Coturnix japonica: one gene and its partners. The protein of the gene in region 4 purifies or fractionates together with the protein of the main gene of each other region. This does not show direct contact. Links are inferred from orthologs where the notes say so. Each region holds a gene or a part of one and is shown on either strand. Other genes may lie near its edges. The genes, in order: EIF3B, PDCD4, EIF3J, EIF4G1, EIF3A, EIF3I and MKNK1.

Region 1 (4,138 bases), on a different chromosome or scaffold from region 4:
CAGTTGAAAGGCACACAGTACAGCCCTATGTCACACACAAAATTAGGAGCAACAAAAACAGCAGCAGGCTTCTAGACACAGTTTACCTGTGGAATTTTCTGCATACCTTACTCTAAGCTGTATCTCAAGACAATTCCATTTAATTATTTTGTATCCACAAACTTAACCCCGCGGGTAACATAGAATTTAAACACATTTGGGTTGCTTTCCCCTCAACTTCTTTCTACAAAGATGAAAGTTCACCCAGTATGAGCCAAAGACTCAGAAGAAAGGAAATAAGAAGCTGCAAATAAGTTAACTTCTAAGCACATACAACACCTTAGAGTATATTAGGATATCTTGCCATTACCCAGCTAGCTAACAACACACATACACTGAAGCCATTGACAGGTAACCTCTGGCCTGAGAGCTAACAGATGGGCAGGGAAGCATCTACAAAAACTCTAAGGACTGAAAAAAGGAATTTCAAAACCTGATATTATAGAAAAATAATATTTTTTAATTATAGAATCTTTATATCTTTAGTTCTTCTTGCATGTAATATGGAAACATGTCCTCTAAGGAACCAGGTTATTTCCACAAAATCTTATGGGAAAAAGAGAACGATAATCCTGAAGCTCTGAGAGTCTCTTTTTCATAGCCAGTTCCCACAAAAGGCTATAAAAGAAAGGAATGCTTATTTAGCTTAACATGGAAGTAGAGGACATTCTATCCTAAATCAGAACTCTAACAGGTTAAACACATACCTACACTGTGTATCTCCTCTACCTTAAATGCAAAACTACCAACAAAGAAACCTTCAAAGGGCAGCGGCTGGTTCAGCCAGCTCTATTCCCACAGGCCAGAAAAGAGGGGTGTGGTGGGTGCACGGCTATCTTCAGCTGGCAGAATTTTAAGGACCTCTCTCATTATCTGAACTAAAGCTTCATGGCACCTGGGCGATGATCTGACACATTCCTTCTATGGAAGGTGGAACAGCTGTTCTGCTGTGCCAACACCATTCTGGGAAAAAAAAACCAACATAAGTCAAACTAACACCTGAGATGATCCAATCTTAAAGCCAGACTGGTTCAGAATTGTTCCTGAACACGTAACTCTTATCATAAATGTGGGAATATGGAAATAACCTTGAATCAGTGATGCTGATGGCCTGGAATTGATTGTCCTGTGGAGTTATCAGGGTAAAGGAAAAGGAATAAGGCAGCTCAAGAAGTAGAACAGGCAGATAGAAAACCAGACCAGCAGGAGTGACTAAAGTTAAACGCTGTAATTCAGCCACTAACATTGTATTATTCATACAGATGAAGAGTCAACCAAATTAATCCTAAAGAACAGAACAGAAAAAAAGACAGGAAATGTTCTGGGTTCTATCTAAACACTGACATGAATGTGATAATCCCCGATGTAGAGAAAGCATCCAAAGCAAACACTTCACTAGACAAGAATCCAGTGATAAACCTGCAGACACTTTTGGTAGTGTCTCTAAGATACACGTGCTCAAAGTGCCATATACACTACTAAGAATAACACACTTTCTTAATTCAAAATACTTCTCCACTTATTTATTAAGCTAAACATAGGAATGGAACACAAGAAAGCACAATTACCACTTGTATTCCGCCACCAATTCAAACCACCTGCTGACTCAGGAAGCAGTACATGCTTTAAGAGGCATTTTTCCAGCTCTGATACGTGTAACCATTACAGAACCTACAGCAGCATTTACGTCAGAGTAAGAACTGGCACAACAGACAAATGGATTTGCTGTTCAAGAATTGACACGGTTTATCTTGAAAGAGTTGTCCGAAACAGTAGAAATACTGAAGCACCAAAGACAGCTGCTGCCATAACGCCTTATGGGGCCAAACGACGGCTGGGTCATTGTATGACACTCAGTATCCAGCTTTTCCTCACAGACCCCGAGCTGCTCCACACCCGCAGCTCATCGCCCCGTTTCAGGAGGGCAGCGCTGACGGCACCAACCGCACGGACACGCCGAGGCCTCCCCACGTTCCCGCAGCGCCCCGGCCCAGCCCAGCCCGCCCCGAGCCGGCCCCGCACAAACCTTCGTCGCTGATGTCGTCCACGAATCCCTCGGGATCGCTGAACGAAAGCTCGTCCTCGGGCTCGGCGGGCGCGGCCTCCCCGTCCTCGCAGGGCTCGGTTGGCGGCTCGGCCTCGGCCTGGGACTCGCTCTTGGCCTCCTCCGACGGCGGCTCGGCCTCGGGCCCGGCCTGCGAGGGGCTCTCCCGGCCGGACGCCGACTGAGGGGAGGGCGGCTGAAGCGGCTGGGGCTCGGCGGGGGGCTCCGAGGCGGCGGGTGGCGGCTCAGGGGGCCCCTCAGAGCCGCCCTGTTCCTCCGGCCCTTCTTTCTCCCCTTCCTCCTCCTCCTTCAGTTGCTGCTGAGGCGGCGGCTCTGTCGGCGCTCCGTCGGCCCGCTCGGGTTCCTCGGCCGGGTCCTGTGCGCCGGGCGGCGCGGGGCTGTCCTCGGTGCCCTGCATGGGGTCGGTACGAGGCCCCACCGGCCGCGCGTTCCCAGCTCGAGAGCGACGGGAAAAGGAGCGGGGGAGGGGTGGGGAGGCTCCTACCGCCGGGCCATGTGCGCCAGGCCCCGCGAGCCGCCGCTACCAACGGGAGGGGGGGGCCGGGTTAGAGCAGCGCTGCCCGATGGAGCTTCCACCCGCCGCTTCTTTCTCCCTGCTCTTCCCCAGAGCGATCGCCGCCTCCTTCACCGCTCACCCCTCCTGCTCGGCCAGCAGCGCCGTCCGTCCTTTCCGAGCCCTCGCGGCTGCGGCTCCCCCTGCTGCACTGCTTTATGGTTCAGCCCAACATGGCGGCTCCTGCCCGTCCGCTGAGGTGGGGTTGGACCGAACCATTTCTCGGGAGGCCAAAAGCGGATCGTGTCTCTGTGCTCAACCGGGCGGGCGGCGACCGAACCCTCCGTGCGGTGCCGGCACTTCAGGCCATCAAACGTCCTGCACCGGGCAGGAGGAAACAGCGAATCTTGTCGCCTTCCCCCCCGCGGATCTACCGCTGTGGGCCCGTCCAAAGGCGGCGGGGCGATGGCGGGCGCTACCACAGCTCGTGATGGAGGGGCGGTGATGCTGGGCCCGGCCCGGCCCTGCCAACACATCGCCGGCTCAGTGAGCTGAGCTCTGTGTCCATTAAACCATTAAACCAAGGACACTTTGATCCCGATGCAAAGATACGTCCGAGTGTGTGCGGTGATACATCCACAAACAGAGAACACAGGGCTTTTCTTTGATGCCGTCAGGTTTAAGCGATGGCTTTGGAGGGAAAAAGCAGTTATTGAGGATTTAATCAGAAGCCGCTCGGAAAAGCTCGTTTTGTGATTTATCGGGCAGCCACAAGGTGCCACCCGAGCTCCATCCGAGCGCTGTGAGCGTCGGATCCCTCTTGAAGCCGCGTTTATGAATGGAAATGATGACTGGCCCCGCTGTGTGACAGCACTGGGCCGGGCTGTGACTTGCTGGGTTTCAGCAGCAAGTAGGAAGTAAAGGAAGAGCTGCTGCCTGTCCTGCTTACTAGCACGTTTTTTATCCAGATAGGAGGACATGCTGTGCTGCAACCCACAGCACCAGCTGCATCCTCACCATTATACGGCTTGTCCTTTTGTGACTCGGCTTTTGCAGCTCCTCACAGTTGCCTGCATTGCTGGGATAGACAGATTTCTATATGACCTTTCTTTCTGTTTACAAGCTATCAGCAAATTTGAATGCTGGGTCTTTCTTCCCTGTCATCTGTTTGAACTTTCTCTTACTTTACAGCACATTTTAATCCTTCCTTCCTTCCTTCCTTCCTTCCTTCCTTCCTTCCTTCCTTCCTTCCTTCCTTCCTTCCTTCCTTTCTTCTTCTTCTTCCTTTCTCCATCTTCCCCTCCATTCCCCTCTTCCTACCTTCCCCTCCCGTCCCTTTCCTCCTCCCTCCTCCTCCGTCCTCCTCTCCCCTCTCTCCTCCTCCTCCTCCTCCATCCCATCCATCCCTATCCCTCCTCTTCCTTCTTCCTTTTCTTCTTCCTCCTTTCCTTCCTTCCTTTCTTCCTTCCTGTCCCCTTCTTCCTTATCTTCCTTTGCTTCCTTCTTTCCTTTCCTATTCCCTTCCCTTCCTCTCTTCTGTC
Region 2 (3,500 bases), on a different chromosome or scaffold from region 4:
ATAAAAGTCAGGAAGTTCTGAGAAAACTTAGGAGATCTGTGCTACGAAGTAGGCAGAAGGTTTAAAATAAATAGTCACATTATATTCTCTTGAGCTGTGAGTGTAGCAGATGATAAAGAGTTCAGGCAAGAAGATAAACTTGCAGTCATCACTTGAAGCAAAGTTTTAGTGGTAGCACATCTGTGTTACGTTACAGAAAGACGTATCTGGCTTACAGTATGTTTGAGGGTCCTGCCCATATCTCAATTTAATTCCATTTACTAGAACTCTAGCTGTAGGTTTGAGGAACTAGCTTGATACTAGATTGATCACCAATCAGCAGAACAGTTGGCAGCTTTTAAATCTTGTATCTAACTAGTGATGGGTTTTGTTTGTTTTAAAATGCAATAGATTGATATGCTGCTGAAAGAATATTTGCTTTCTGGAGACCTGCTGGAAGCTGAACGTTGCCTTCAGGATCTGGAAGTACCCCATTTTCACCATGAACTTGTATATGAAGTAAGGAGAAATGAGTCCCTTTAATGACTGCCGGGTGTTGTTTTGATGTGGGTATGCATTTAGCTGGAACTTGAAGCTCAGTTTCAAGTTTTGATGTTATTTAAGTAACTGAATTACTTCATGTAAAGTTAATGGTTTATGTGCTCACTGTGTGTATGTTGTGTAATAAATAAGCTGCTGGTCCTTCTGGGAAGATCCAGAATTTTATTTTGTTTGCTGGGTAATTAGCTGTGTTCAGACTATTACTGATACCTGAAAAATAAGAGCTTAGCTTATTTTCTGCTGAGGAATACCAGCAAAAGCCCTAGGTTGTATTGGAGTTTATTTCCTTTTAATTACGTGTTACAACAGTTTTCAGACATCTGGGCATTCTAATGGGTGTTGCCTGTTTTTGTTAAGATATAGTTTCCTTTGCAGGCTGGAATTGTTCCATGTAGTATCTCTGTAGAAGGCTGAGATAACTCAGAACCAGACTATACAAGAAAGATCTTTGCTGTATCTAGTAGGCAGTTTTGGTTTGCACTTGAAATGGTTGGATACAAAATTAATTGCCATCTGTGCTGCAGCAACCATGCAGATCCAGTTATGTATCCCTCCAACAAGGCAGTGTTCTTTACTCTGCCCAGTCCTTCCTCTTTTCTCATACCTTTCAGCTTTATGCCAATAACTTTTTATCAGGCTTTGCTTTCCTTTCAAATAACAATATTCTGGAATTGGAACTGCTTGTAGCAAATGGACTTGTCTCCCCAGAAATACATTCACTCTTTTTTTGCACTTTGATACACAACCTGCACTCAAACCACTGTTTTCCTTTAATTAAAAGCCTTGCATGGTTTGTTTTAGGCAATCGTGATGGTTTTGGAGTCTACTGGAGAAAAGACCTTTAAAATGATGCTGGATTTGCTGAAATCTCTCTCGAGGTCTTCTGTCATTACTATGGACCAAATGAAAAGAGTAAGTATGGCATTGAAAGAATGCTGGGTAAGATTTTCAAGTAGCTTCTATCTTCTTTTAAGTACTGGTTGTAATTTATTGCATCTCTCCTTGAGATCTGTGGCCTGCCCTCTATCTACAGGGCAGAGCAATTAATCCTTCTTCCTTGTGTTACTGGCAGCTGGGCTGTCGTATACATTCTGTACTGCCTGGATTTCTGACTTTAAGAAGCTAAAATGCTCAGCCAGTGTGTTCATATAGATGTGTTGTTGTGCAACACCAGCTCTTGGAACTGGCTGGTATTAGTGGCAAAGCAAGGTATAATTTGCAGGTGTTTTGCTTTCAGTTGATTGAAACAGCTTAAAGAATACATGAAACTGCATTCAAAAAGCCATCATCTGAGTGCAAAAAGATGGTTAAAAAATTGTAATTTTAGAACAACCAAATAATTATTTGCTTTCTTAAACTACAGGGCTACGAACGAGTTTACTGTGAAATACCAGATATTAACCTGGATGTGCCACACTCCTATTCTGTGCTCGAGCGGTTTGTGGAGGAATGTTTTCAGGCTGGAATCATCTCCAAACCACTGAGAGACCTTTGTCCTTCCAGGTACTTGTTTTATTACAGAGAGGTGCTGGAGCTCAGTTTGGAAGCAGGATCTTATAACCTGGGTGTGACGGGTTGGTACAGAGACCAGGGGAGATGGAGGAACAAAGAGAACAGGGTTGATACATATGTGAGGGAAGGAAGCTGCTGTTGGAATCCCTGGCAGCGTGTCTGACTGCTGCAGCACATGAAGGCCTGCATCTCCTCTCAGTTTTGCTCACTTGGCAGAGATCAGCGCAGTGCTGAGATGGAAGATCCAGGAGTTTTAATGATGCAGACAAACCTGGAGGGGAAAAAAGAACATGTTTTAAAGCAGTTTAAACATTGTAAACTGAATTAATAAGAGTTCTGGGATTAGACACCAATTCTCATGGTTTTTGTCAGAAAGCAACCAGGCATTTCTGTGGCAAAAGCTCTACATACACTAAAAAAGGCAACTGTGAGATACATCCAATATTGTAGAGTTTTCTGCTTTATTATTGCTTAACTGTAGCTTCTCGGTATTCTGTATTATTGGTCAGAATACAACCTTTAAGTTTGATGTGTAAATGTCGATGTTAAAACTATCCATGATATTCTGCACCAGAAATGCTGTCTGTTCAATATCTTCCAGTTTGAATCTCGACATCAGCTTGCACTGAGGGTTCGGTAGGGCCGAAAGTCATTGCTGCAACAAAAGCTTCATGATGCTTCAGCTCTCAGGAATATACAGACAGGAGTTTTGAGCTTGTGTTTCAGTCTGGGGTAGAAAAATGTCATTTGTAGGGTTTCAAGCGAGCAGCTTTTGGAAGCACAGATGGTAATGTTCAGTGTTAAAGGGACAGGAGAAATCTGAAGAGCTTCTTGAGAATAACATAGTGTAGGATTCTTTATCTGATTCATCATTTTGCTCAGTCTCACACACCTCACATTTAACTCGAGACCAAGAGAAGATTCTTCCCACTGACAGAAGTGATGCTACCACAGACTTGCTGATAATAGACTTTGTGTTGTTTTCCAGGGGCAGGAAGCGCTTTGTGAGTGAAGGAGATGGAGGCCGGCTGAAACTAGAAAGCTACTGAATGTCGGAACCAACTGCTGAAGCCTTAGAAGTTGAAAGGGAAAGAGACAAAAGAGAGGCATCTATATAGATATATACAGACACACAGGCCTTTTTTGGTCCGTGTGCCTGTATATACGTATATGCATGTATTGTATACCAAATTTCTACGAGTTGCTTAGCACAGTTGCTATATTTTTAAGAGCACGTGTTTTGGGTACAGATCAGTTGGTTTTTTTTTTTTTTGTTTTTGTTTTTTTTTTAAGAGTTTTATAGATTTCAGAAAGAAAAGTTCTTTCTTTGGGCATCCAAACAGACCAACTGGCCGCTCCGTTGTGGCGGTGCCTTCAGATAAGCTACCTTTTATAAGTGCCATAAGTGATCATTCCATGTTTGCATCCACGTCTGACTGCCGCTGTTT
Region 3 (2,434 bases), on a different chromosome or scaffold from region 4:
GTTGTAAGTACTTAGAATGCTGCTGCTGTCTTAACCTGAAGGTGTTGTGTACAATAAATCCTACCCTGTTCAAATACCGACTGCTGGCTGTGGGTCTCAGGGATCGCAGCAGGAACTGCACCTCAACCAGCAGGAAAACAAAGTAAAACATCCTGAACCTGACGATAAAACGAGCAGAATTAATTGGCTCCTACACGCTACAGAGAACCCATTGTTTGTCGTCTTTGGTTCCAATCTGATCAGCTTGTTTCTGTTTTCCAGCTTAGTGATGAGGTTTAAGCCCAGCTCCTGTTTAACAAGCTCCAAGAGAGCAGAACCCAATAGAGAGAATAAGAACCGAATATCTGTGCTCTGCTCAGTTATGGATTCCTTCCCACGCTCATACAGAGCAGCCGTGGGGACGAGGCCTTCCCTGGAGCTCAGGGCTGCCATGGTGGGTGATGAAGCTCTGCTCCCCAACAGCAGCACACAGAAAGAACAGGGTCCAAAGGGCGCTGTGGTGAAGTCCTCACAATAGTGATTTTTATTAAATTAGTTGCTTTATAAAACATTGCGGATGTCGTAATTGTTAACGTAACAATTTGCCCCACTGTAGTAACTGCTGCAGTTTGCTAAGCAAGTTGTTTGTTTTTAAATGAAAGAAAATAGCCGAGTCATGAAAGAGCAACCGCAGCCCAGGAGACCAAAGTCGTGTTTGGTTTTTTACACCGAAACCAGGCAGTAACTGTTAAAGGGCCCGACCCGGCCAGCGGCACCGGCAGAAATGCAGACGAATGGAAACTCACCATCATGGCGTGAGTTTTGGTTTTGTTTTTCCCAAACCTGGAGCTCTTTCCCTGCTCTCTCCCAGCGCTGCTGTGTGGACGTCACCCTGTGCAGCCGTGCGACTCCCACTCCTGAAGTCAGCAGTTCCCCTTCACAATACACTGAAAACCTCAAGCTCTAAGACAAAGCAACTGTAATACTAAGTGCACACCCATGGCTGCAAACAGCGTCTGCTCATCAAACAACTCATTCAAGGAGGTTCAGTTAAGGCCGTGTCGTACAAGAGGGCCGGTAATACTCGGCCTCTTTGAAATTCATTTCCAATTTGGTGGCTGTCTGTGAAATCAAACAGCCATTTCTGGGAGCAGAATTCGGTGATTTGGGTTTGTGGGTTTTTGGGTTGTTCCTTTTATTTTTTTTTTCCCCTGTAATTTTGGAGCTTTTGAGCTGCTTCCTTCCAGCGCCTCGAGCACAGAACAGGGAGGGCAGCACTTGGGCACCGCCTGCCGCGCCGAGCCACCAGCACAGAGACTGCAACCTTGATAACAGCATTTGGCAGAATTTAAAGAAAGAGAAGTTGTGCTACATGTTTAAGGGGTTATGGGCAACAGAAAGACAACAGAAGGGGAGATAAATGTCACATGAAGTCTTCAAACTCTTGTACGTATTCTCCATCGTATCCTCCATAATCAGCCAGGTCATCTTTCATAGTAGCCTTTAATCCACCTCCAGGCACAACACCTTTTTTCTTCTTTTTGGCTTTACTCTGCTTGAAAAGGAAGGAGAGTGGATTTAGTGACACAGCCACAGCAGTCTGTCCTCCTTCTGATTAGACAGAGCCCAGAGGAGCAAATACCTGCATTGCTGTTCCACTACGAACCCGTCCTCTAACCTGATTTAACACTCCGAAAAATGCATTGCTAGTGATATCTTCAATTTCATTGCTGTCTATACAGCTCAACTCATTATTGAATCTCCACCAACCCGAGGTTTTAAATCTATTCTCCAAAACCTACTGTTATGTTCTGTACCACATAAGCATCTGTTAAGCTATTATCTCACCTCATTTTCATGTCTATGCAGCCATTGCTCCTTCCATTGCCAGAGCACAGGAACACCCCAACCGTCAGCTATTCCAAACCCCAGCAACAAACTCGGCCTAAGGCTGCAGTTGTTCTGCTGTCCTGATGCTGTAGCCCTGCTGCCCTGTGATGCCTTGACTTGGGCCTCTTCACTGCCATGACAGCACCATGTGAACACACAGCTCAGCTCCAGTCTACCAGCCAAGGCTTTGGCCTGTGCTCTGACTTAATAGAACTCCTGCTGACCTCACACATATAAGGGTGTTTTAGATCAGTATCCAGGACTACAACGTCACCTACTGTCACACACAACCCCAGCAGCAGTTCAGGTCAGCGCTGGACCTGCTGTGCAGTGCAGGCATTGAGCACCTTCAGCAGGAGCTGCCTCAGCTGCATCCAGCTGTGGGATTGTGTCTCACCTTCTCCTGTTTCTGTTTTTCACTGCATAGTACCGTCAATGAATTCGTGATCTTCTTCAAATCATCAATTTCCACTACAGAGAAAAGAAAAAAAGAGATTCCTCATCAACTTTGTGCTCACATACCCTCCCATCATCACAGTCCTCTCATGACTGTAGAGGTATGAGA
Region 4 (3,500 bases):
AGCAGGCTGGAGGAAAGAGGTTCATTACTCAGTGGGATCAGCTGGAGGGGTTTCACTGCGGTGTCCCCGAGTTTCTTGGCTGCTTTTGCATGAAGTCTAGTGCATGTGGCTCTGCCTGTGCTAGTCCCAGCCCAGGCCTCTGCTTCTGCCTGTGCCCTTCTCCTCATCTTCTTCTTCCTTCTTTCTGTGGGGTGGAGTGTGGGGGGGGTCTCCTGAGGCAGCAGTTGTGTCACACTGCTGGCCTGTCCCTGACTAATGCAGTGCCCTGGGAGTGATAGTGTCTCTCTGCAGTGTACCCAGCATGTCCCTTAGGCTGTGGGAGGCTGCAGCCATGGTGGGGCTGGGACCTGACAGTGCCAGGAGGTGGACAAGGCCTTGTGCCCAGCAAGCTGGATGTGTCCCCCTGCATCCTGCCTGCAACGCTGCAGCTGTTGCCCCTGGGAGTTTGAGCAAAGCGCCTCATTCAGCTCCAAGGAACAGCTGGGCACAAACCTAGTGACATCCACACTGTGCTGGGTCCCCCTGGCTCCATAGGGACCTCCATAGGGGCAGGCAGCTCCCCGCGTCCCCCAGCATGGGTGGATCTGGGATGTGGCCATCACACTGGCAGCCTGGCTGCTGCTCCTCCATCCCACAGCACCACGCTTGCACTCCCACCCCGTCCCCTCTCACCACCCCATCCCCTCATCCCACCCCAGCGCGGCAGTGTAACTCCTGTCTCTCTCTCTTTCCCCTCTCCCTCTGTCTGCGTGCACTTGCTATCAGGGAGGATTCAGGTCTCTCCAGGTAATGCTTTCTCCTTGCTCCAGCCTTGCCCTGCACACCAGACGTGCAGACACCTCCTTCCCTGCTGCCTGTTCCCCAGCCCTGGGGTGCTGCCACCCAGTAAAGCAGTGCTGCAGGGGCTGCGTGTCCTGCACGTTGCAGCATGGCACAGTGGGACTGCAGGTCCCGGCATTCAGCGCGAGTGCCGGCCCCCATTGCAAGGCACGCTGGGACGTGCCGATGAGCTGCGTGCAGCCGTGGCCGGCTCCGGGCGCTGCCGGCCCTGCTGGGCTGGGAGTGGGCTGTGCTGGGCATGAGCTGGGTCGGATGGAGCCAGGTGGGCCCCCCACAGGTGTGTGGGGCAGTAGGGGGTGCCTGGAAAGGAGGGGAGGGGGTGTAAGGGGTGAGCTGCATTCTGGTGGGGGGGCTCCCCTCTTTAAATCTCCACCCAGGGGTGCTCCCTGTGCCTAGGATGAGTTTTGGGGTGATAGGTGCTGTGAACCTTCTGTCTGGGTTAGAGGGGGGGCCTGGCTCGGTTGCCTCGTCCCTTTGGCAGGGGGGTGCTATTGCTCTGGCCTCACTGCATCCCTGTCTCTCCCAAAGCATTTCTACCAGAACAGGGCCCAGCCTCCTGCCAGCGCGTCCCGCGTGCAGAGCAACACAACGGCCCGGCCTGGCCCTCCTGCCCATGTGTATCCAGCTGCTTCCCAGGTGATGATGATACCCTCCCAGATATCCTACACACCTTCCCAAGGAGCCTATTACATTCCCGGACAGGTGAGGGCTGTGCCCCGGGCTCTGCGGGATTGGGCTGGGGTGGGCTCAGGGTTGGAGCCCAAGTTTGTTCTGGGAGGTGGAGGGGGTTACCCTGGTTCTCTGAGCTGTCCCTGACTCCATCAGGGTGTTGTCCAGCTCTGCAGAGGGGCAGCACCTGTGGGGTTTTGTGGGCTAACCCTGGGTACTTGATGCTTGTCTTGTGTCCTGTGCCCTGCCTTAATGGCACGCAGGTTTGGGGCACGCACTGGTTTGGTATTTGCCTGTGCCCTGCTGGGAATATAACCAACTTTCTTCTCCCCTATTTCAGGGTCGTTCAACGTACGTTGTCCCAACACAACAGTACCCAGTTCAGCCTGGTGCCCCTAGTTTTTACCCTGGAGCCAGCCCCACAGAGTTTGGGACTTACGGTACAGACTGGGGGGATTACTCTGTGTGCCATTGCTCTTCCATCCACGATGCTTCATCCCTTTTGCTCCTCTGACTCTGGCCTCCCTGCAACCCCACAAATTGGTGGGCTGAGCACAAATTCCCTGTGTCTCTGGGTTTTGTGAGGTGCATTCTGTGACTGCTGACGCCACTACGTGCTCTTTTGGGATCTTAGGGGGGGCTCTATGTCTCCCAGTGCATTCCTGAAGGCCGTGCATCGTGTCCCATCTGTCCACCCACCTCCTTTTCCAAATCGGGACAGATTAATGTTTAACTGCCCAGGCAGAGGGACAGGGCAGACTTTATCCCCTTTTCCCCTTGGCTTGCAAGCTGGTGGTGAGTGGTTGTTTGGTGCTGCCTCCCCTGCCTGAGCCAGCTGCATGTCCTGGGTGAGCAGGGTCTGGGCAGTGACTGCTCCACGCCTGCCCTCTCCCGGAGCTGGGGAGTGGTGGTAAAAGCAGCCCCCCCTCCTTCCCCCGGCTTGTATGCAGCCACCCAGGCTGTGACTATATTTAGGCTTGGTCCTTCCCGGGAGGCCTGGCAGACTCAGAAATGTGAGCTGAGGCCTCCGTCCCGTCCCCGGTATGGCAGCAAAGCAAACTGGGGCGGAGAGGGGTTTCTCCTGAGCCAGGTATGTGTTTGTCCTCCCTCCCTTTTGTCCCATCAGCCCCTCGGAGGGAGGAGGTGGCCCCAGGCATGGCCAGCTGGGCCCAGTCCCAGCACTCGGCCTGTTGCTGCACTGCTCCATAGTGCCTGGAGCGTGCTGGGTGGTTCTGTCCCCTAGCCTGCAGTCTTAGGGTCTCCTCCTTCCCCATCCCCCTAGCTACTAGAGGGATTTGAGGCCCTTCTGATGTTCCCCCAGCCTATCACTGGGGTCCTCTTCTGTGGCTTCATGGCTTCCCTAACATCTGGCCCCAACCCCAAGCTGCTTCCCTGGGCAGGCAGGCTGGCTTTGTGTCACGCGTGGGTCACCAGAATGGGGGCAAAGTGGCTGTCAGTGTGTCACTGAGTGAGTTCTGTGTTCAGTGTGGCTGAGAAATGCTAGAGGTGGGAGGAGGCCAGGGTACAGCTGCCCCTGTCCCTCCCTGTGCAGGTACTGCAGTCGCTTCCAGCCTGGGGCACGATGCAGCCCTGGCTGATGCCAGCCCTACCTAAGAAGCTCATTGCATGGATAACTTGGGGAGGAACACAGCACCTTTTGGGGTCTGGATCAGGGCCCAGTGTTGCATCCAGCCCTCAGCATCATTCAGTGCTGTGAGCTCAGTTCACAGTGGTCTGAGTGGGGAGCCCAAGGGTGTGAATGAATGGAGGGCGTGGATGGGGCTGTGTGGAGCCGCCCTTAGGCTGCTGCTGGCCCAGGAGAGATAAGGTTGCTGGCAGGAAGGCAGAACCCATGGAGCCAGGGCTCCTGCACCCAAGCATGGCTCAGCATCCCGGAGGGACTGGCGGTGTCCTGGAGCCGGTGGGCACGGCTGGGTGTGGGGGCGGCGCAGGGACGCCGCGTCTCATAGGGAAGGAATTTGGTCAGGCCT
Region 5 (3,500 bases), on a different chromosome or scaffold from region 4:
CTAAGGCTGCCAGGATAATGTGGAGTGCCTGTAATGATTGTAAGCCTTTAGAAACAACAAAACAAACATACGTTCTTCACGTTCAGATCTGAGTGGAGGTCCTCTTCTCAGTGGTGGTTCTCTGTCATCAGCACGGCGATCTCTCATGTCACGACCACCTCTGTCCCACTCTTCACGACGACTCGAATCCCTCCAGCTAGATGTTTCCTCAGCTGGTCCTCTTCTCCAACCAGCGTCATCCCTTTTGCCATTCAAAATGAAAAATGATACTAAATGTTAATGTTTTATCTTTGCTGCAGAAAGAAGTGATGATGACACTGATACTTTCAGTTGCGATGGGTCTCTATTTAATATGCTGACTTCCAAAATCTTTTCTGGTGCCCAGCATGAAATACAATGTACAGGGGGAAAAAAACAAAATATTTAAAGGCAGTAAAGCATTCTGGGATTCACTGTTAGTATTTTAAGAACAACAAACCATGACATCATTATCCATTTACTACCTCAAAGAACTCCATTTCTTACACATCAGCAACAGTTCATTTCACTACGTGAAGTCGTATTATTTCTTAATTACACAAAGGAGTCAAACCTGGGACGCCTGAAACGATCATCTCGATCAAAATCTCTTTCTCGGTCAAATTCACGCTCTTTCTCATTCTCATCACGATCTTTGTCTCTGTCCCACTCACGGTCTCCAGGAGGCCTGGAGTCTCGGGGAGGCCCCCAGCTGTCTTCACGGGCCTTCTCGCGTTCCCTCCATCCCCCTGTAAGCAATGAAGTCAAAGGAATATATGAATAACTTTAATTCCTCAAAGATGCATTTACTTCTCTCCCATAAACTGTTTAGCCAATTGTTTGGGATTTTTTTCCATAGGAAAAAGCTACTGGAGTGCAAATATAATGATTTCTGATAATTTTAGTACTGGTTTAAATGACATAATTGATGTCTAAAGAGTTGATGTGGCACCTGTAAAAATATAAAATAAAAAGATGCTAAACATACAAATGTGAATAAAAAAACACAATCAGAAACAAGTAATGGTTACCAACACTTCTACTTTGGGTTAGAAGTAAACCACATAGGAATAGGATAGTAGGATAATTCAGGTTGGAAGGGACCTCAGAAGGTCATCTCATCTAAAATCCTACTTAGTGGAAGATGTTCCAAAAAAGTATGGTAAAAATAGGAGTATTTCTATATCTAGGAAAAAAGAAAAAAACCTTATCCAAACCAGACCCACTTGAGTGATGCAATGATGCATCAAAGTCCTTCCTATAGCAGATTAATTCCAGATTGGGTAGGGAAAGAGATCAAGGTGCACTCAACTAGTGAAAATGTTCTTCCTCCATCAAAGCATTAAACCTGTGTATCTTGTTTTTTTGCATCAATTAAATACCACCAAATACTATGGGACCTTTAGATTTTGGCCATACACGGTTTGTTTAATTGAACCAAACGAAAACGATTAATTATCCTAAGTAAAGGAGAGTCCATGTTAGCAGAATTACTCCCGACATTTTCAGAGATGATTCTCCCACCTCTTGTGTCAAACATATCACATCCACTATCTGCTGGTTTAACTATGCTTTGGAGGAAAAAATCATTGCATTATTCTGCTTTACCTGGTTTACCAAATGGTCTCCAAGGACCTGGTCTTGAATCTTCACTGCTACGCCATGGCCCCCTGTCATCATCTCGTCTGGAGAGCCTGTCATCATCTGCATTACGCCACGGTCCCCTGTCATCATCCAGACCTCGCCTGGGACCCCTGTCGTCATCCATCCCACGCCTGGGACCCCTGTCGTCATCTGCAGCACGCCAACTGCCCCTGTCATCATCCAGCCCACGCCTGGGTGGCCTGTCATCATCTAAAGCCCGTCTGGGCGGCCTATCATCATCCAGCCCACGCCTGGGTCCTCTGTCATCATCTGCTGCTCGCCAACTGCCTCTGTCGTCATCCAAGCCACGTCTCGGTGGTCTGTCATCATCCAATGCACGTCTTGGGGGTCTGTCATCATCCAATGCACGTCTCGGTGGTCTGTCATCATCCAATGCACGTCTGGGGGGTCTGTCATCATCCAATGCACGTCTCGGTGGTCTGTCATCATCCAAAGCACGTCTGGGGGGTCTGTCATCATCCAAAGCACGCCTGGGACCCCTATCGTCATCTGCAGCCCGCCAGCTCCCTCTATCATCATCCAAGCCACGTCTGGGGGGTCTGTCCTCATCCAAACCACGTCTGAGTGGCCTGTCCTCATCCCCTTCGCGCCGAGGTGGTCTGTCTTCATCCCCTTCACGCCGAGGTGGCCTGTCCTCACTTGATTCCACAGAAGGCCGTTCCTTTTCTTCTGCAGGACCTCGTCGGGGCAGATCATCCCCTCGTCGGGGTAGATCATCTCCTCGTCGGAAAGGTCTTTCATCATCTCTTGCTTCTCCTCGGCGCCAATCTCTATAAAGCCACAAGGAATAAGCAAGTAGAAAATGACATCTAGGAAAGCTCTGCATGTAAGACAAGTGTTGCTGACTCCCATCAAAATCACTTCTGAAAACCTGATGTATGGTTGCAAGTACATTTACAGAGCTTGCAGTTTTCAAACGCACAAGGTCTAATTGCCTTGAGTGCTATACAAAAGTGATAGGTCAGCTCCTTAACAGATTCAGTTAATACTGAACAGTTTATCATCCTTTTAAACATTACAGCTGCTTAGTAGTCTCCTTTGGCCATCTACTGCAATAAAACAGAGAAGGTGTTTTGCTTCTTCATCAAGCTTAATTTGACAAACTCTGTATCTCAAAGAACTCGTTAAAAATAAAAACCATGGTCATGAAGTATCCCCCATCTTCACAAACACAAACACACAAATCATGGTCATGAAGTATCCCCCATCTCCACAAACACACCAACCCTAAAATCCCATCCCTGTTTTCCCTTAACAGATTGGTGATGCTCTCACTGACAAACACACACAACTGGGTACAGCAGAACAACTACTGCTGCCCAACTGCAAGCAAAGTGCAAGCTCTGGCAGACTAAGATGACTTACAGGGATTCTCCTTACTAGGTTGTAGCAGGGATAAAAAGCATTGATGAGAGTTTTCACTGGGCTATTGAGCCATCAGTTCATCTTTAGAATATGCTTAGCTCTGTAACACTAAAAGGATCAGACATTACTGAACAGTAGTGATAGCATTCTACCTTGTCACTAAGCTAAGTACTGTCTCCAGTAATGCCCACAGGAGTCATGGTAAAGAAAAGACTGAGAGTACTGCAATACACTGATACACTGGAATCCTGTACTCTGGGGACTGCTGCAAAAGACAATCAGCTGCTCTGTAACTGTGAGGATTTGTGTCCTAGTTTTACGTGCATGTCAGACCTGCTCCACAAGAAATCAATACCTGCCAGACATTTTTAGCTGCAAGCTAATGCGTTAAATCTGAAGCATATAAACAGAAGCATTAAATGCTTCTGCAATATGTAACTAAAATGTTTCAT
Region 6 (4,066 bases), on a different chromosome or scaffold from region 4:
TTCCTCAGAGAAGCTCTGCAATTCTAGTAACTCTCCAAATGCTGCCAATAGCAAGACGCTCTGGGAGCAGGAGAGAACTCCAAGTGCAGACTCAGCCCTGCCAGAGAAGAGCACCAACCTTGCCTCAAATTTGCCAATCCTGGTGGAGGTCGTGGTCACATCCATGGCCTCCTGCCCACCACCGAGCACAACCTGCATAGGAAGAAAGTCACAACACTGCAGTGCTGCTTACACCATATGTGGAACAACAGCCAGGGTAGGAGGGAGCCCAGCCTTGGGGAAGCCTCCCACTAACCCAGCACAGCCCATGACAGCAGTCAAGTCCCCTGGCCCTGTCCCACAGTGATTCTTTAGCTCAGGCTGAACTGGTGACACTGTGCCTTCCAGCTGCCTGAGACAATGCAGGAGCTGCACTAAGACCGTTAGTATGCGTGGGCTCATGCTTACGTGATCAAAAATGGGGGAGAGTGCAGCAGAGTTCACCGGTCGCTCTGTCCGGAATGTCTTCAGATGTTCCAGCGTTGTGCAGTCAAATAGCTAAAATGCAAAAGGAAGAGAGTGGCAGTCCAAGTATCTCATGCAAACCCCAGCTGCCAGTCCTCACATGAGCAGGTGTTACTTCTAAAGTCACTCCTGGGCATCCAAATGTCAAAGCTATTGCTCCAGAATCCCAAATATCAGCCCTCCCACTAAGCTTTGGCTCTACACCTGCTCAAATTCCCAAAGAGAAAACCACTGAGGCAGCCATGACTTTGAGCAGGGGTCCTGCAAGCGGATGTCAGCAATGCACCGCAGTCCCCCCAGGAGGCCTCACCTTGGCAGTGTTATCCTTGGAGGCAGTGATGAACATGGTCATGTCCCTGGAGGTCTGAATATCATTGATTTGCTTGGTGTGCTCCTTGATGTTTGAAAGCTGCTCCCCTGACTGAAGGGTAAACGAGGCAGTTTAAGTGAACTGGCAAGGAAAGTGTACAAACAACTTCTCTGCTAAAACCGACTTTAGATGTTGCTGTCAGCAGAAAGGTAGGCATATATATGTTCAGCTTTGCTGAAGAAAGCCACATACTTTAACTATCCTTCCTCAAGGCCACTGGTTTGAGCCAAAAAAACCCACATTCTGCCACATGATCACAACAGGAACGTTGCAACATCCTCTCCCAAGAGTTGCTGCCTGAGGGTGATGCTCCTCCTTATCACACTGACCTTGGCACTGAACTGGTTCAGCTCCCCACTCTCGTGTCCTGCGATGATGAATTCTCCCAAAGGGCCCCACACAGCACTAGTGATTTTAGAGTCGCTGCAGGGGATTTTCATGTAAGGCTCGTTGTTCTCTGCAGGAAGGAAGGATGGAGACACACAGACTGAGTGGCACCAGCTCTTGGCAGCCAACGCTTCCCCTTATTCCCAGTTGCAGGCACAGGCCCGGATTCCTCACCGATTTGGCTGGGGTCACGCAGGTCAAAGAAGCTCACAAAACACTGATAACCCATCTGCTTGTCCGTGGAAAACATGATGATGTTTCCTCCAAAGTCAAAGCCACACGTCCTCACTGCCGAGCTGGTCTTCACCAGAGCGAGCTGCTTTCCTGAACACGGAGCAGAAACCATCACTTCACTTGGTCTTGCATTGCAAACATTAATGAAAGCAATCAAACAGAAGTGCAGTCATAGAAAGAACAGGAGCATCAGAGCTGACAGACAGGTTGGGTGACTGGAAAGCACTAAATGTGCTTGGTGAGCAAAATGAATAAGTGCCCATTGAAAATAAGGCAAATACACAAACAGCCAAGAAAGGACTTGGGCTCTTTCAGGGGCAAACAGGCACATGTTGCACAGATCCCAGAACAGGACAGAGCTGAGTCAGATCCAGCCACGTGGGAGAGAAGAGCCTTTACCTGTTTCACAGTCCCAGAGCCGACAGCTGTTATCTGCAGAGCCAGTGAGCACATGTCGGGTGTCCCCTTGGTCAGCAGTTAAGGGATATCAGCACGTTTGCAGCCCCAAAAATCATTAGATACCCAGGGAGTATTTACACACAAGATTAAGAAGCTGCGTTACATTGAGAAATTACAGGACTTGGGAAACTTCCCAAGGAGCACAAATAACCAAGAGATGGCACAAGGGACAATTAAACACAGCAGCTGAATGGAGCCATCCGTGCTGAATCACTGCAAGGAACGAGAGCACAAACTGGTTGTGCACCCAAAGGATACAGTCAGCATCCACACACCACACGGCTCCTGTGTGCCCATTGTAGGTGCCCAGCCGTTCTCCATTCACCGAGTACCAAACGTTGACGATCTAAAAGAAGATAAAAAGGCTTGAAGAGCCGCTCTGACCAATTACCTGAGCTCGTTAATTACCCACCTTTATCCCTCCCCCCCCATCGCACACAGCCCGGTTTCCCGGTGCCCCCGGTTCACTCACGGGATCCTTGGCCACAGTGAACAGCAGGTCTCCCTCTCGGTTGTACTTGATCTGTGTGATGGATCGCTCGTGGCCCTGCAGCAGGATCGGCTTCTGCACGCGGCAATGAGGGAAGGCGCCATTTAACGCTATGCCAAGCGAGGCCGAGGCCCCGGCTGGGGCTCAGGCTGCCACCACCATCAGCCCAGGAGCCCCGCCGACCCCAGGACCCAGCCGGGACCCGCATCAGCCCGGCCCGGCCCACAACCCGACTCACCATGGCGGACACGGCGCTGCCGGAACCGGAGCGAGAGAGAAGAGGCGTGGAGTATCACGTCCGGGTCACGGGGCGCTATGGCGGCCGCCGGTGAGCTTCCGGGTTTGGGGGACGGGCCTCGGGTGGATCCCGGAGGGGCTGAGGGGACGGGGTGGGCTGTGTGAGGGGGCTGCGGGCTGATGGCGGCCGGGCCAACAGCCCCGGGGCTGAGCTGATGTTGTGCTGCAGGGCAGGCCGCCGTGCTGGTGCTGGTGTCGGTTCTATGGGGCAGCACCGGGCCGTTCCTACGGACGGGAGCGGCGGGGCTGTTGGACGTGCAGCGCCGGGGGCTCCTACGGCAGCTGCTGGCCGAGATCAGGTTCCTGGGCTGCAACTACAAGGTGAGCACAGCCGGAATCATGGGGTGTATGGGACGGGCCTTCATGCTCCTTCCTGCACTCAGCACCTCCCATCTATCAGCAAAATGATTTGTACTCTATAACATTTCATCTACCCACCTGCAGTCCTGCTCTTCTTATGGAGAACTTAGACACTTGTAGAAATTAACCCTCATATTTCACATTCAGACCTGCCTGCCTTCTGCAGACATGGCATCCAAGGCTTGCACTGCTTGCTGCAGGCATTGCAATGCTTTTCCATGCAGTGACCTGTCTTCTTTCCGCAGTACATGGTGCCATTCCTGCTGAACCAATGTGGATCGCTCCTCTTCTACCTCACCTTGGCATCTGCAGGTCAGCTCTCACTGCTTTGTCCAGTGGGTTGATCAGGGTTTGGGGAGGAGCTGTATTACTGATTCATTTGGTGATCTGGCTGAACATCAAGTATCATCATCATAGTATCACAGTCTGGTGTGGGTTGGAAGGGACCTTAGAGATCATCGAGTCCAACCCCCGGGATTCGAGCCTCCTGTGTAGCAGAGCGGCACTTCTACCACTTGTGCCACAGGGGGATTCAAGTAGATGTCTTTGAATGAAGGACGCATCCATTTCAAACCGTGTTACAATTGTTCAATTTCAGAGCTGTCCCTGGCAGTGCCGCTCTGTAACTCCCTGGCTCTGATAGTCACGCTGGTGACTGGAAGGATTTTGGGAGAGGATATTGGTGGTAAAAGTAAGTTACGCTTAAAACATTTGGCACGTTGTATTCTGCATCTATTTGTTGTTTTAATGTTGTGTGCTCCCTTCTGGTAACTGCTTAGGCAGTAGTTTGTGCAAGGAAGCTGAAAAGGAAGTGAAACTGACTTGTAAGGGGGTAGAGCTAGTGAATTTAAATTGGCTGGAACTGGCTGTTTTAAGCTAGCAGAACTTGTAGGCCTGAGCCTTCACCTAATGATGTATTTAACCATAAGAGAAATGTCCATACACTAACATTATCCTGCTTAAGA
Region 7 (3,887 bases), on a different chromosome or scaffold from region 4:
AACAATTGGCTTAAATGACTGCCTCTTCCTTGTTTTGGGGCAGTTTTCTTAGTTGCTAATTTTACATGACTCTGGCATAAACTGCAACCAGCTGCTTGTTTTCCTTTGCCAGAAGTTACAGCCTTGAAGAAGCACTCCAGATTTTAGCTCTGCAGTTAAAAGCCCAACATCTCAGCTTCAAGCCCTGAACAGATGAGTTTGTAAGTATGAATCAGAGGGGATGCTCTAATACAGGTCACACGTGGAGGCAGCTGCTGGCAGCATCCACAAGGCAGCTTTAAGCACCATGGGACTCAGAGCCACCAGCTGAAGGGCTCTCATAATCATCAGACAAAGTTTAGTGCAAGTCCTGCTTGAGATTGATAAAATAATACAGTCAAGGAGTGACAGCTATGCTTATTCTCAAGAGTAACCATAGAGAAGTAATTCCTGATTATTCTTTTTCCCAAAGTCACCAAAAATCAACAGCAAAAAACCACACAGAAGAACTGTCAAACGTGTTAAATCCAAAGCTTAAAACGTTTTAATAAAAACAAAGCAACATACATTTCATCATCACTGGCACAACGTAGAAAACCTTTTAAATAAGAACTTTAATACTAGTCACAAAATACAGAATGTTGTATAAAAATAGCTGTGTGCACACTGATAAAAGAATGTAAAACTGCTCTGAATAGGACATACAAAGACATTCAGCTTTGACTACTCAACTTCCAAGCACTTGTTGGATCAGCTACTTTAACTCCTTTTCATTCTGCTTGGGAGGGCTTTATGCTTGCACTGGGGACCCTCCTCAGCCTGTACACAATGCCCAAGCAAACAAACGGCTGGCAAGGTTAAGGTGCATCACGTTGGGCATCTCAGCCCTATTTTCACAGCTTATGTTTTAGAAAGTGCTCAACAGTTGCATCCTTCTCAACGGACACCTCAACTTGGTCACTCAAAATCTTCAGCTTTTCAGCCAATACCCTTTCAAATAACTTCTGATCCCTGGTGCATCACGGTACTAAAACTGGTACTTAAAATCTAGTCCCTCAGCCTGAGATCACTGCACAGATGCTTTTCAACAGATGTACCTCCAGATTTGATAATCCTAAATCACTCACGTACCAAAATTTACTCAAGCCTGTCCATTAAGAACTGCAGGTAATGCACACAAATGGATTTGGAAGAACGTGAGGAAGAAAGGAAGGTACAGTGGACAACAGTATTAACGTACAAAGCAAAACAGATATTAAGCATAATAATATGTAATAACGTGGTTATCAGTGTAACTGTAAGAGAAGGGGACAATGGACAAAAAGAACTGGTATAATATTGTCATGGTTTTGTTACAGTACATTGTAGTTGAGAACAAGATGTCAGAAAAAGAAGTAACACTTCCAGATTTCGTCCCACATGCAGACACACAAACTACCAACAAGGATAATAATAAAAAGAAGCAACAAGGTCCTCATCATCTCTGCAAGCTTGAGACCTCCTTACACCTTTACAATATTATTCACTAAACATTTATGCCCAGTGAAGGCAGTGGAGACAAAGATCCACCCTCCAGTCATCATTTCTGTTTCCTGAGTCTACAAGAAGAGAGATGGGCACTGTTGGTTGAAAACAGTCCCTGCTGCTGACAGTAGCAGCAGCAACCTTGCAGGATTTGCCATCAAAGAGAGCAAACATATGTAAACTTTATGCTCTGCCAGGCAAAGCAAGAAAGTATTTTTTTCCCCGATGTTTTTAAGCTTGAATTTTAAAGTGTGCTCTTCTAAGAAGAAAACATGAAAGCTTTGTGATGCATCACCTCAGATAATACAGCAGCAAAACCATCTTCTCTAGTTTAAAAACATCAGTTAAATTATCTTAATGCACCAAATCTGACAGGCAAAAACATTCCCATAAAAAGCTACCCCCTTTACATTATGAAGCACATCACAAAGAGCAAGCTTCTATTCAAAGAGTAAGAAGCAGATAAGCTTTTATCAGTACTGAAAATCCACCTAATAAAACAGGCTGATCTCGCCAATCTGTAGCAGGAAAGAAGTTTAAAAGGCTTTATGGGGAACTGGCTGGAAGTCACAGTTTTTGGTGGCATGTGTCATTGCTCTTCGCTTGGCGAGCCGGGATTTGGATGGAGGAGAAAGCTTCATGGAGCACACAGCTTGGGCAACGCTCTCCTGTTCTGCGCTGAGCTCGTTCTCGTGCTGAGACAACTGGCGGTTAAGGGCTATAGCCTCAGCAGCAAAAAGCGTCAGGTCTTTTGTGCTACTGTTCCTTTCAAGGGAAAAAAGGAAAGCAGTTAGAACACATACAAAGAGGATAAGTTTGGCTGCTTACCCTAACAGCAGAATATGCATTTCCATGCATTTTTTTTTTTCTCCTATCCAAACAGTGACACGGTAAGCAATAAGACCAGTTAATATTTGCATCTCTCTGTGGCAACCAGCAATACATAATAAAAATGCTTTGAGATTCTGGAAACAGACACAGTTTTAGTCCTCTGTCTGCCAAGGACTCCCCAGGAAAACCCAGGAATCCACCTGCAACACTGTGCTTCAGCTTCTACATGTTAAGAAAGGAGAGGCATGTGGGACAACACTGTTTCTCTTCAGAGAACTGCAGTCCCACTAGAACTGCACATCTGGGTGCAGGAATTGCATTTCTGAGGATAGGAAGAACCTGGAATTGCCAGTGGCAGACATGAAAATAGAGAAGTGTGACTCAGGCCCTACAGCATCCAGAATCTGCCATCAAACCACTTAATACAAAGCTTCTCCTGCTCATGGTTAAATTGCTACTGTGATTACCACATTTTCAATGGAAGTCAGATCTGGGTCTGTACATTTGATTACCCACCCATCAAAATGTAGTCTCTTTGGGTAACACACGCCTTTATGCCTCTTTTTGCCTCCTGGGCAGCAAACTGCCAAAACCATGATTATTTCCATCCTAAGATTAGCCATGCTCCACAGGAATCCTCTCCAATGCCTTTCCCACAAACAAGTAAGATTAGATTATAAAGAAAAATGACAGCTTTAATATTTCTGATGCTCTTAACAAAATTAGTGCTGCCACACTTACATAGTTCCACTATTAACCACGGATCTTACCCGCTCATTTGCCACCTCCTGCCCCTCCCATTCCTTCAGTAACAACTCCTAGCCAACCTTATAGATATTAAAAAAGGTGAAAAAAAGATTACCTTTGAAGAACTTGAGGGGTAGGCAGTCCCCTTTCAGGAGCCTGCTAGAAGAAGCAGTTAAGAAAAGTTAGTTATGTGTGAGTAGGTGGGAATCAAACATTCACAAGAATGATTTCAAAGAACAACAGGTAACCCCCTCAGATTTACAACTAATGGATATGGTACATTAACTGCTTCACCACAGGTTTACAAACCACTGTTGATATTTTCTGATCCACCTCTCCCATCACAGAACATGACCACCGTTTGCAGGTACAATGCAAAAGTTTGAGAAGCTCTCCAGAGGGCCCCATCTGTTCTTTCTTGAACTAAGAACTAAAGCAAAAGAGCATACTGCTGTTCTTTTAAAACCATACCTACCAGCATTCTGCAGCATTGTATTAGAGAGTAACATCACAATAAGCGCACTGCAGTGCTTCGTTTCCACAGGAAAGCTATTTAAAATGCATAAAGCAAATTAAAAAAATACTTAAAGCTTGACAGAGTCATCCAAATATTTACCACACAGAGCTACGGGAAGAATAAAACCACTGGATATAATGTAATTAATCAAGACACGAGCACTAAACATGAAATATCTCTCCTAAATATTTAGAGAGAAGGAGCAGCTTGTTTACAACTCAGGAAGAAAAATGACCCTTAAAAACACAATAGGATACATACTCCTTGAACCCATGAATGTTGCAAAACT

Evidence for each region.
Region 1: the proteins of EIF4G1 (region 4) and EIF3B purify together in Homo sapiens (affinity purification with western blotting; 7 studies listed by BioGRID and IntAct, with this or other methods). This does not show direct contact. The link is inferred for Coturnix japonica from reciprocal best matches to the Homo sapiens genes EIF4G1 and EIF3B.
Region 2: the proteins of EIF4G1 (region 4) and PDCD4 purify together in Homo sapiens (affinity purification with western blotting; 3 studies listed by BioGRID and IntAct, with this or other methods). This does not show direct contact. The link is inferred for Coturnix japonica from reciprocal best matches to the Homo sapiens genes EIF4G1 and PDCD4.
Region 3: the proteins of EIF4G1 (region 4) and EIF3J purify together in Homo sapiens (affinity purification with western blotting; 3 studies listed by BioGRID and IntAct, with this or other methods). This does not show direct contact. The link is inferred for Coturnix japonica from reciprocal best matches to the Homo sapiens genes EIF4G1 and EIF3J.
Region 5: the proteins of EIF4G1 (region 4) and EIF3A purify together in Homo sapiens (affinity purification with western blotting; 4 studies listed by BioGRID, with this or other methods). This does not show direct contact. The link is inferred for Coturnix japonica from reciprocal best matches to the Homo sapiens genes EIF4G1 and EIF3A.
Region 6: the proteins of EIF4G1 (region 4) and EIF3I purify together in Homo sapiens (affinity purification with mass spectrometry; 5 studies listed by BioGRID and IntAct, counting the BioPlex papers as one, with this or other methods). This does not show direct contact. The link is inferred for Coturnix japonica from reciprocal best matches to the Homo sapiens genes EIF4G1 and EIF3I.
Region 7: the proteins of EIF4G1 (region 4) and MKNK1 purify together in Homo sapiens (affinity purification with western blotting; 3 studies listed by BioGRID and IntAct, with this or other methods). This does not show direct contact. The link is inferred for Coturnix japonica from reciprocal best matches to the Homo sapiens genes EIF4G1 and MKNK1.

Annotation. Positions count from the first base shown.
Region 1 is NC_029529.1:3,185,052-3,189,189, reverse strand, and holds the start of EIF3B (eukaryotic translation initiation factor 3 subunit B), read right to left. Parts: upstream 2,801-4,138; 5' UTR 2,502-2,800; coding exon 2,066-2,501; intron 1-2,065.
Region 2 is NC_029521.1:23,094,881-23,098,380, forward strand, and holds the end of PDCD4 (programmed cell death protein 4), read left to right. Parts: intron 1-390; coding exon 391-498; intron 499-1,341; coding exon 1,342-1,452; intron 1,453-1,842; exon of another isoform or gene 1,843-1,903; coding exon 1,904-2,043; exon of another isoform or gene 2,044-2,323; intron 2,324-2,569; exon of another isoform or gene 2,570-2,779; intron 2,780-2,944; exon of another isoform or gene 2,945-3,040; coding exon 3,041-3,101; 3' UTR 3,102-3,215; downstream 3,216-3,500. UniProt on the Homo sapiens protein: Inhibits translation initiation and cap-dependent translation. May excert its function by hindering the interaction between EIF4A1 and EIF4G. Inhibits the helicase activity of EIF4A. Modulates the activation of JUN kinase.
Region 3 is NC_029525.1:17,930,937-17,933,370, forward strand, and holds the end of EIF3J (eukaryotic translation initiation factor 3 subunit J), read right to left. Parts: intron 2,341-2,434; coding exon 2,267-2,340; intron 1,535-2,266; coding exon 1,403-1,534; 3' UTR 501-1,402; downstream 1-500. UniProt on the Homo sapiens protein: Component of the eukaryotic translation initiation factor 3 (eIF-3) complex, which is required for several steps in the initiation of protein synthesis.
Region 4 is NC_029524.1:13,914,605-13,918,104, forward strand, and holds part of EIF4G1 (eukaryotic translation initiation factor 4 gamma 1), read left to right. Parts: intron 1-765; coding exon 766-786; intron 787-999; exon of another isoform or gene 1,000-1,078; coding exon of another isoform or gene 1,079-1,117; intron 1,118-1,368; coding exon 1,369-1,542; intron 1,543-1,849; coding exon 1,850-1,949; intron 1,950-2,580; exon of another isoform or gene 2,581-2,599; intron 2,600-3,500.
Region 5 is NC_029521.1:26,731,030-26,734,529, forward strand, and holds part of EIF3A (eukaryotic translation initiation factor 3 subunit A), read right to left. Parts: intron 2,454-3,500; coding exon 1,627-2,453; intron 768-1,626; coding exon 593-767; intron 242-592; coding exon 72-241; intron 1-71. UniProt on the Homo sapiens protein: RNA-binding component of the eukaryotic translation initiation factor 3 (eIF-3) complex, which is required for several steps in the initiation of protein synthesis.
Region 6 is NC_029538.1:4,527,855-4,531,920, forward strand, and holds the start of EIF3I (eukaryotic translation initiation factor 3 subunit I), read right to left. Parts: upstream 2,801-4,066; 5' UTR 2,773-2,800; coding exon of another isoform or gene 2,760-2,772; 5' UTR 2,686-2,759; coding exon 2,683-2,685; exon of another isoform or gene 2,679-2,682; intron 2,520-2,678; coding exon 2,427-2,519; intron 2,301-2,426; coding exon 2,213-2,300; intron 1,961-2,212; coding exon 1,895-1,960; intron 1,586-1,894; coding exon 1,436-1,585; intron 1,332-1,435; coding exon 1,204-1,331; intron 926-1,203; coding exon 815-925; intron 538-814; coding exon 448-537; intron 193-447; coding exon 119-192; intron 1-118. Other genes in the region: TMEM234 (transmembrane protein 234), read left to right, coding at 2,760-2,772, 2,911-3,062, 3,347-3,413, 3,700-3,792. UniProt on the Homo sapiens protein: Component of the eukaryotic translation initiation factor 3 (eIF-3) complex, which is required for several steps in the initiation of protein synthesis.
Region 7 is NC_029523.1:19,353,105-19,356,991, forward strand, and holds the end of MKNK1 (MAP kinase-interacting serine/threonine-protein kinase 1), read right to left. Parts: coding exon 3,860-3,887; coding exon of another isoform or gene 3,856-3,859; intron 3,241-3,855; coding exon 3,197-3,240; intron 2,269-3,196; coding exon 2,040-2,268; 3' UTR 501-2,039; downstream 1-500. UniProt on the Homo sapiens protein: May play a role in the response to environmental stress and cytokines. Appears to regulate translation by phosphorylating EIF4E, thus increasing the affinity of this protein for the 7-methylguanosine-containing mRNA cap.